Linked DNA regions of Ovis aries. The protein of the gene in region 1 purifies or fractionates together with the protein of each later gene. This does not show direct contact. Links are inferred from orthologs where the notes say so. Each region holds a gene or a part of one and is shown in the gene's direction. Other genes may lie near its edges.

The links. The genes of interacting proteins can lie anywhere in the genome.
Region 2: the proteins of VGLL4 (region 1) and TEAD4 purify together in Homo sapiens (co-immunoprecipitation; 5 studies listed by BioGRID and IntAct, counting the BioPlex papers as one, with this or other methods). This does not show direct contact. The link is inferred for Ovis aries from reciprocal best matches to the Homo sapiens genes VGLL4 and TEAD4.

What each region holds. Positions count from the first base shown.
Region 1 is NC_056072.1:55,592,618-55,596,364, reverse strand, and holds the start of VGLL4 (transcription cofactor vestigial-like protein 4), read left to right. Parts: upstream 1-1,386; 5' UTR 1,387-3,747. UniProt on the Homo sapiens protein: May act as a specific coactivator for the mammalian TEFs.
Region 2 is NC_056056.1:212,613,732-212,617,378, reverse strand, and holds part of TEAD4 (transcriptional enhancer factor TEF-3), read left to right. Parts: coding exon 1-24; intron 25-385; coding exon 386-538; intron 539-1,348; coding exon 1,349-1,462; 3' UTR 1,463-3,647. UniProt on the Homo sapiens protein: Transcription factor which plays a key role in the Hippo signaling pathway, a pathway involved in organ size control and tumor suppression by restricting proliferation and promoting apoptosis.

The sequences.
Region 1 (3,747 bases):
GTTTCTGACCGTATCTGTTTGATCTCTGCGTATCTGAATGTTTATTCCGTGACAGTTTATACTGTGTGGTCTCTGTGTATAGACTGAGCTCTCACTGGAGCTGAGCTGCAGTCTTGTTCAGCAAGGGCACTTTTATCTCACAAAATAGCCCCCCCTTTTATTTTTTAATAAACTCATATATCATCCTCCTCCACCCCCCCCAAAAAAACTTCACCCACTTTATTTTAAAAGCAGAGTTTGAAAATTTCATTTTCTGCTTTGCTCTCTTCCTCTCTGCCTTCCTGAATGTTACATGTTCTCCTAAGTTTTAAGGGGTTGTTTCCATCAGTTTGCTTTCTGATCCTGTCTTTTTTTTTTTCTTTTCCTTCTTTCTTTCTTTCCTAGAATTCTGTAGATTGTTTTAGTTTCAGGGTATTGTGTACAGGATATGTTTTAATCCTAACCATGTGAATCACTACCCGTTGAAAGAATGTTTATTTACGCTAAATAAAATAGAAAATCTCTTCTTAAAGTTGTCTTTAATTTGTGGCTATTTATATGATCTTTCCGAACTCTTAACATTTCACCCCCATCTGTTTGCAAAGACGTCTGTAAACATAACAAACAAGTATATTTAGTGAGTGAGTCGAGAAGACTCAGTGCTGTGCCTTGTCACCCAGCATCCATTTCTCATAAGCATGTATGGAATGTTGCTGCTCTGCTGAGGAGCGTGTTAGGCCTCTGGGTTGATCTTTCTGCATGTGTGTCTGGCTGGCTGTCTCTGTGCCCCTCTGTATTGCTCTCTGTCTCTGCATTTCTCCGTCTCTTAACACTTTTCATTATGAAACATATATACACCTGAAAGTGCATAAAACACGTGTGTTGTTTATAATTAAAAATATAACCAACCTTGTCATGATCACCAGGAGAAGAAACAGTCAGTCGCTTCCTCCAAGCTCTCTCCCAGGCACAGTTTCTCCCGACCTCAAGAGGTCATCACAGCTGCAACTGGCTTTACTTGATACTTTTAATTACCTATGTGCGCCATTCCAAACAGACTAGCTTAATTTTGTCTGTTTTTGTTTTTACTGGAATTTTTCTCCTGTGTCTTATGTATGAGGTCCTCTAAAGTAGTGGCCACGTCCTAAGAGGTTTTCTTCTCCCTGTGAATACAGCCTGCTCCCCGGGCGGGCGAGGGGTGCCTCACATTGGAATACCCACGGAGGTGCCCTCCGCCCTCCTCACTGCCCTGTTTCTCCGCTGTTAATAGACCTGGTGACGCTTTGGCCTGAACTGGTTTTTTTTTTTTTTTCCCCAGCCAGTATTTTGGTCACAGTCTTTACCACCTGTTAAAACCCTCCACCATCCGTGTGTCATGGAAAACTGCATGTCAGAAAAATTCTGCCCAGTTTCAGAGAGCGCAGAGCAGGGAGGGACACTTCTGGAGGTACGTAGCTTAATTAGGACCCGAACAGAAACTTCGGTCCTGCGTTAATTAATAAGCAATTTGCTTAAAGGGCTGAGACATGTCACAAGTCAGCTTTGTCACAGTGCCAGGTTTCTTGGGATGGTGATCCAGGGACTTTCAGATAAACAGCGAAAAGCTTACATTGTTCCAGCGCTCAGACAATGCTCGACATTGTATAGACAGGGCTGCCAGCGAGCAACCAAGGGCTGAAACAGTCGTGGGTCGGCCTTATGCACCGTCTGAAATGGTGAATGGAGAAGGGTCACCCATATGGATCGCTGTTGGTGTTCGGTTTGTGTCTGCTTTGCATGAAAATCGTTGCCTGTTAATTCTTCTCGGCTAATGATTTGATTTTAATAGAGCGAATTCCAGAATTTAATGGCCCGATGCAGAAGTGTGCTGCCAAGCGCTGGAGCGGTGTTTACACTGCCCCCGCTCCAGCTGGAGTCAGCCCGCCGCCGCTCCCCTGAGAGCAGCTGATGAGCGCCCATCTCTGGACGTTCGCCTCCTCCCCTCTTTGGAATCAAGCACATCTCCCCTTAGGTGGCAGGCTGATTAAAGTGACAGGGGACTAACCTGAACTTTCATCTCATCGTCCGCAGCTTTCTCCTGTACCCCTTTCCTCTCCCTTTCTTACAGTGTGTGTCCTTTTAAGCTGTTGCTTTTCCGATGAGCCACTGATAAAACCGATTGGCTGACCCCGCAGAGAACCCTTGTTTTATTTCCCTGATGAAAAGCACTGACCTCTTTGCCAGTGCTTACAGTCACCCAGGAGAGTGACTCGGGCAGCTTCTTAAAGGAATATGTAACAGCTGTGCCAGGCTTGACCTTCTGTTGAGCGGAAGGTAAGAGGGACGGAAAACAGCAATTCTTCTCCATCTAAAACCTATGTGAGGTTTCCGAGCCCCACCCTGCAGAACTCCCAACTGGGAACAGTTACAACCAGGTACCGGAGATGATGGTGGAACCCTTTTTCTGTTAGAGGCTTTATATCAATAAAGAGGGGGAGAAAGGAAGAGGGGAAAAGGAGCGGAGTGAAATAGAATCCCAGGATTAGCCGAAGACACCAAGTATAACTCCTGGTGTCCAGTATTAAATATAACACATCACTCATATATATGTGTGTGTATGTATAAAACATGAGTGAAAGTCACTCAGTCGTGTCCAGCTCTTTTTGAGACCCCATCGACTACAGCTCACCAGGCTCCTCTGTCCATTGGATTCTCCAGGCAAGAATACTGAAGTAGGTAGCCATTCTCTTCTCCAGGGGATCTTCCCCACCTAGGGATCGAACCCAGGACTTTCGCATTGCAGGCAGATTCTTTACCGCTGAGCCACCAGAGAAGGCTATGTAAAACACCATATAAATACATAAAATCCACACACACACACTCACATGTGCATGGTGTACATGGTTTTATATTGTGTCTAACAGAGAATGGGAGAGAGCTTTCCTGTAGAGGTGGAGGAATCCTTAGATACCGTTTAAGGAGAAAGTAGAGGGACCAACACCAACTCCTTGGCTTTCCCACCCGAAGGCTCCTCGGGATCCAACTGCAGCCCTCTGTTCCTGCTCACAAGTCCCCACCTTCTGGCCTCAGGGACGTCTCAGTGATGGGTGTCTTTCCTGGGTCCCCTTCCTTTCTTCCTCTCCTGGGTCCTGCTCTTCGTCATCTGCTCACACTCAGGCCTCTCCCAACTTTAAAACGAGAAGCCCAAACCCGCCCCTCCGCCTTGTGTTCTCTTCCTCACTGTTAGACCTCCTTGCCGTCCACGTCGCGGGGGGAAGAAGGTCGGTGTCCTGTCCATCCGCTGCTCAGCCCGCTGGCATCTGATTTCTGTTCCCGCCACTCTGCTGAAGCCCTGCTGGGCACGGGCGCACAGCGCCGCCCTGCTGGCGTGTCCTGTGGACAGCTTTTAGTCCTTAGTTTGAGTCTGTGTCTGCGGTGCTGACTCCTTCCATAACCTTTACAGTTTTTCATCCCTTGGCTCAAAGACGTACCTCGTCCCCACTCCATCAGGAATGGGGCGCTGCGCGAGGCATCAGCAGGGCTTGTGTGCTCCTGGGCGTGGGTAGGAGGGTGGATGAGAGGAGGCGGGCTGAGAAAGGTTTGCGTGTAGCTTGAGGACGAATTGGGAGGAAACAGGAGAAACAGGAGAGGGCGTGAACCTGCGGTGCTCAGGGCAAGGGGTGGTGGTAACCTGAGTCACTGCAGGGATGGAGGAGCGGGCGGTGGGGAGTAGATCTCGGAGAGAAGCCTGAGGGGACATGGTTCTGGATGGGAGCAGGGGAGCAGGCA
Region 2 (3,647 bases), on another chromosome or scaffold:
AAGCAGGTGGTGGAGAAAGTAGAGGTAGGCCATGCTGCCCACCTGGGCTCTGGCCCCTCACGCGCACACACACACCGCCCCCAGCTTGGGCTTCTCGCCTCTTCCCCTAGATTTGTCTGAATTAGGGCAGTCTCACCCTCACCTCGTCCTTACCACTGACAGCCTGCCTCACGCCCAGCACGAGCCGGGGAGTGGTGGGAGGCCAGGCACCCCCATCCTGGTGGTTCTCACCGGCTGTACATCAGGTCTTGGGGGGCCAACACCCTGGCACTGAGTCCCCCACAGTGTTTAACCCCAGACCTCTCCCACCTGCGGGTGGTGTCTGGGAACCGCCGGGCTGGCGGTGGGCGGCGGCCTCCTAAGCCGCGCGTCCCCGGCCCTGCAGACCGAGTGCGCGCGCTACGAGAACGGCCACTACTCCTACCGCATCCACCGCTCCCCGCTCTGCGAGTACATGGTCAACTTCATCCACAAGCTGAGGCACCTGCCCGAGAAGCACATGATGAACAGTGTGCTGGAGAACTTCACCATCCTGCAGGTGTGGGGGGACAGGCGTGCGTGTGTGCAGATGTGGGAAGGCAGGTGTGTGTGTGGGGGACAGGCGTGCATGTGTGCAGATGTGGGAAGGCAGATGTGTGTGGGGGGGACAGGTGAGTGTGCAGGTGTGGGAAGGCAGGTGTGGGGGGAAGGTGGGTGGTGTGTGCTGGTGTGAAGTCAGGTGTGGGGGGGAGGTGGGTGGAGTGTGCAGGTGTGAAGGCAGGTGTGAGGGGAAGGTGGGTGGTGTGTGCAGGTGTGGGGGAACAGGTGTGTGTGTGGGAGCAGGTGGAAAGGCAGGTGTCTGGGGGGGACAGGTGTGAAGACAAGTGTGGGGAAACAGATGTGTGTGTGTGCAGGTGTGGGAAGGCAGGTGTGTGTGTGTGGGGACAGGTGTGCGATGTGTGTGTGTGTGCAGGTGTGAAGGCAGGTGTGGGGGGAAGGTGGGTGGTATATGCAGGTGTGGGGGGACAGGTGTGTGCGTGTGTGCCAATGTGGGAAGGCACGGGTGTGTGTGGGGGGACAGGTGTGTGGTGTGTGCAGGTGTGGGAAGGCAGGTGTGTGTGTGGGGACAGGTGTGTGGTATGTGCAGGTGTGGGAAGGCAGATGTGTGTGTAGGGACAGGTGTGTGGTGTGTGCAGGTGTGGGGTGACAGGTGTGTGGTGTGTGCAGGTGTGTGGCGACAGGTGTGTGGTGTGTGCAGGTGTGGGGGGACAGGTGTGTGCTGTGTGCAGGTGTGGGAAGGTAGGTGTGTGTGTGTGGGGGGGTGGGTGGTGGGCGGAGCGGACAGCACACTGTCTCCCACACCCCACAGGTGGTCACCAACAGAGACACCCAGGAGACCCTGCTGTGCGTCGCGTACGTCTTCGAGGTGTCAGCGAGCGAGCACGGGGCTCAGCACCACATCTACCGGCTGGTGAAGGAGTAGAGACCAGGGACAGGGAGGGGGTGACATCACGTGTGCAGGGACGAGGGGAGGGGCCCCATGGGGCAGCCCCCGAAGCACCGAGAGTTGAGGTGGTGACTCTTCTACCCAGGAGCAAATTCTGCCTGAACCTGCAATTGCCCAAGCCCAATAAACCCCAGCTCTGTGCGTCTTCAGAGGCCCCGTCTGGCTGCGCGAGCCCCGGGAGGGCTGAGGGAAAAGGGGCCGGATGCCACCCCGGGCGTGGCTGTGAAGCCAGGGCTCCGTGGACTCGGCCAGGACGGTTGCCAGCTGCCGACGCTCAAGATGGCATGTCCCCGAGCTGCCCTGGAGGCCTTGCCCCCGGCTCCGGCCACAGTGGGAGGCCTGGGGACAGGCACGGGTCCCCCACCTGTGTGTCCTGTGCGGGCACCTCGGCCACCGGGAGTGATGTGTCTGCCTCACTTTCCCCACCGCCTCTGCTGCCGCTCCCTCTGAACAGCCGACGGGGAGGCCGGCCCAGCTCGGGGGTGGGTTTCAGGTGTGGAGGTTAGACAGGGGCAATCAGAGCTCTTTAGCTCCAGTGGGCGTGAACTCTCTGGCCCTGCCAGCTGTCTGGGGGGTGGGTTCCAGGTCAGGGGGGGCCCAAGACAGAGAGGGTAGGAGTGCTGGGGCCAGCTTCTGAGTGTGGGTGGGGGCTCTGGGGTTCCTCGGTGTCCTCTTCGGTGGTGAAGGCCAGGAACGTTGGTCTGAGGTCCGCGCTGTTCTGGTGGTCTTTGAGACCATGCAGTTGGTATGCCTTGCCATCTCACAGCAAACGCCTCCCAGCCAAGAAGCCTGCTGGGTGGTGACCACCTCGAGGCAGCCGCGCTGACCACCCCCTCCCCGGACGGAAGGTTCTATGCACCCTGGGGATGGAGGAGAGGGGAGTGGAGCCCACCCTGGGCCTGGGGGGACCCCTCAGCTGAGGGAATTTCCCTGGTCTGTTCCTCCTGGCAACTGGCCTCAGTCCTAGGGCTCCCCGCTGCCTGCCCTGTCTCAGCGTGTGTCCTTTCCTGCCTGTAGAGGGGGACGGCCTTAGTGAGGAGGACATGTCTGTATAGTGCCTGACGCAAGGTGCACTAAAGAGAGAAAAAGTTACCGTCCTCTTACCCCTCCTGGCCCTTGGGATACTGGGAACCGGCTCTTTGCTGCCATCTAGTGGCTGTTTGCTATCATCTTGCCTAATAGGGACCCACACTTCCCGGAGCCTGGAACCCAAGGAGACTAAGAGTCACGTGCAGGAGTTTTGTGTGCTGATCTCAGGGACATGTGTGGGGATATGAAGTGAATAAGATGGTGTTGAGGAGGTGTTGTGTGGTTAGGAGCCAGGGCTCCAGAGTCAGTGGCTAGGATTGGAATCCTGGTGCTCAGCTTTGGACTGTGTGGCCTTGGGGAAGTTACCTAATTTCACTGTGCCTCAGTTTCCCCATCTGTACAATGGGTATAACAATAGTACCTACCTCGTATATGTAGAGTGCCTAGCGTGGTGCCAAGCACACGAGCGCGTGCTGTGAGTATGCATTATTATTAATAGCACTGACTCTTGCAGTCTGAGGAGTCAGCTTGGGAGACTCTTAAGTGGGGGTGGGGTGGTCCTCAGAGCAACTGGAATTCAGAGGTGGGAGGGGGTGGGGCTTGGAAGGTTCAGGGAAGAGGCGGAAATTGAGAGGGGCTGCTTCTTGAAAGAGAGGCATTGCCTAGATGAACAGCCTGAAGGGGCAGTCTGCTGGCAGCTCTGGACAGGGCAGGAGGACCAGCCCTCCAGCTTCCTTCTGGACAGCTGCTAGACCCCGGGCCAAGTCGTATCTCCCTCCTGGGTGCTGGGGCCTGGGTGCGAGGGGTCCCTGAGTCTCTGAGAATTGTCTACCGTCTTTGTGTGGTTTGGGTCTGGGGAGGCTTTCCTGCCCACCCCTGGTCACTGTCATGGCCTTTGCCCTCCCACCTCCCCACCCGTGTTCCCGGAGCTGTCAGGATAAAGGGAGCCCGTGACCTCTGTGCCCGCACAGGACTGAACCTTCGGACAAACACTGGTGTATGAGTAGCCTTGGGCCCTGGGACAGATGCACAAACTGCGTCCATCGTTTTGTGTCCTGGGTCTAGGGAGTCCATGTAGATGTTGGGGCCAGAGCTGGCTTCGAGTGTTCCCTTCTCTTTAGGGCCTGGTCTC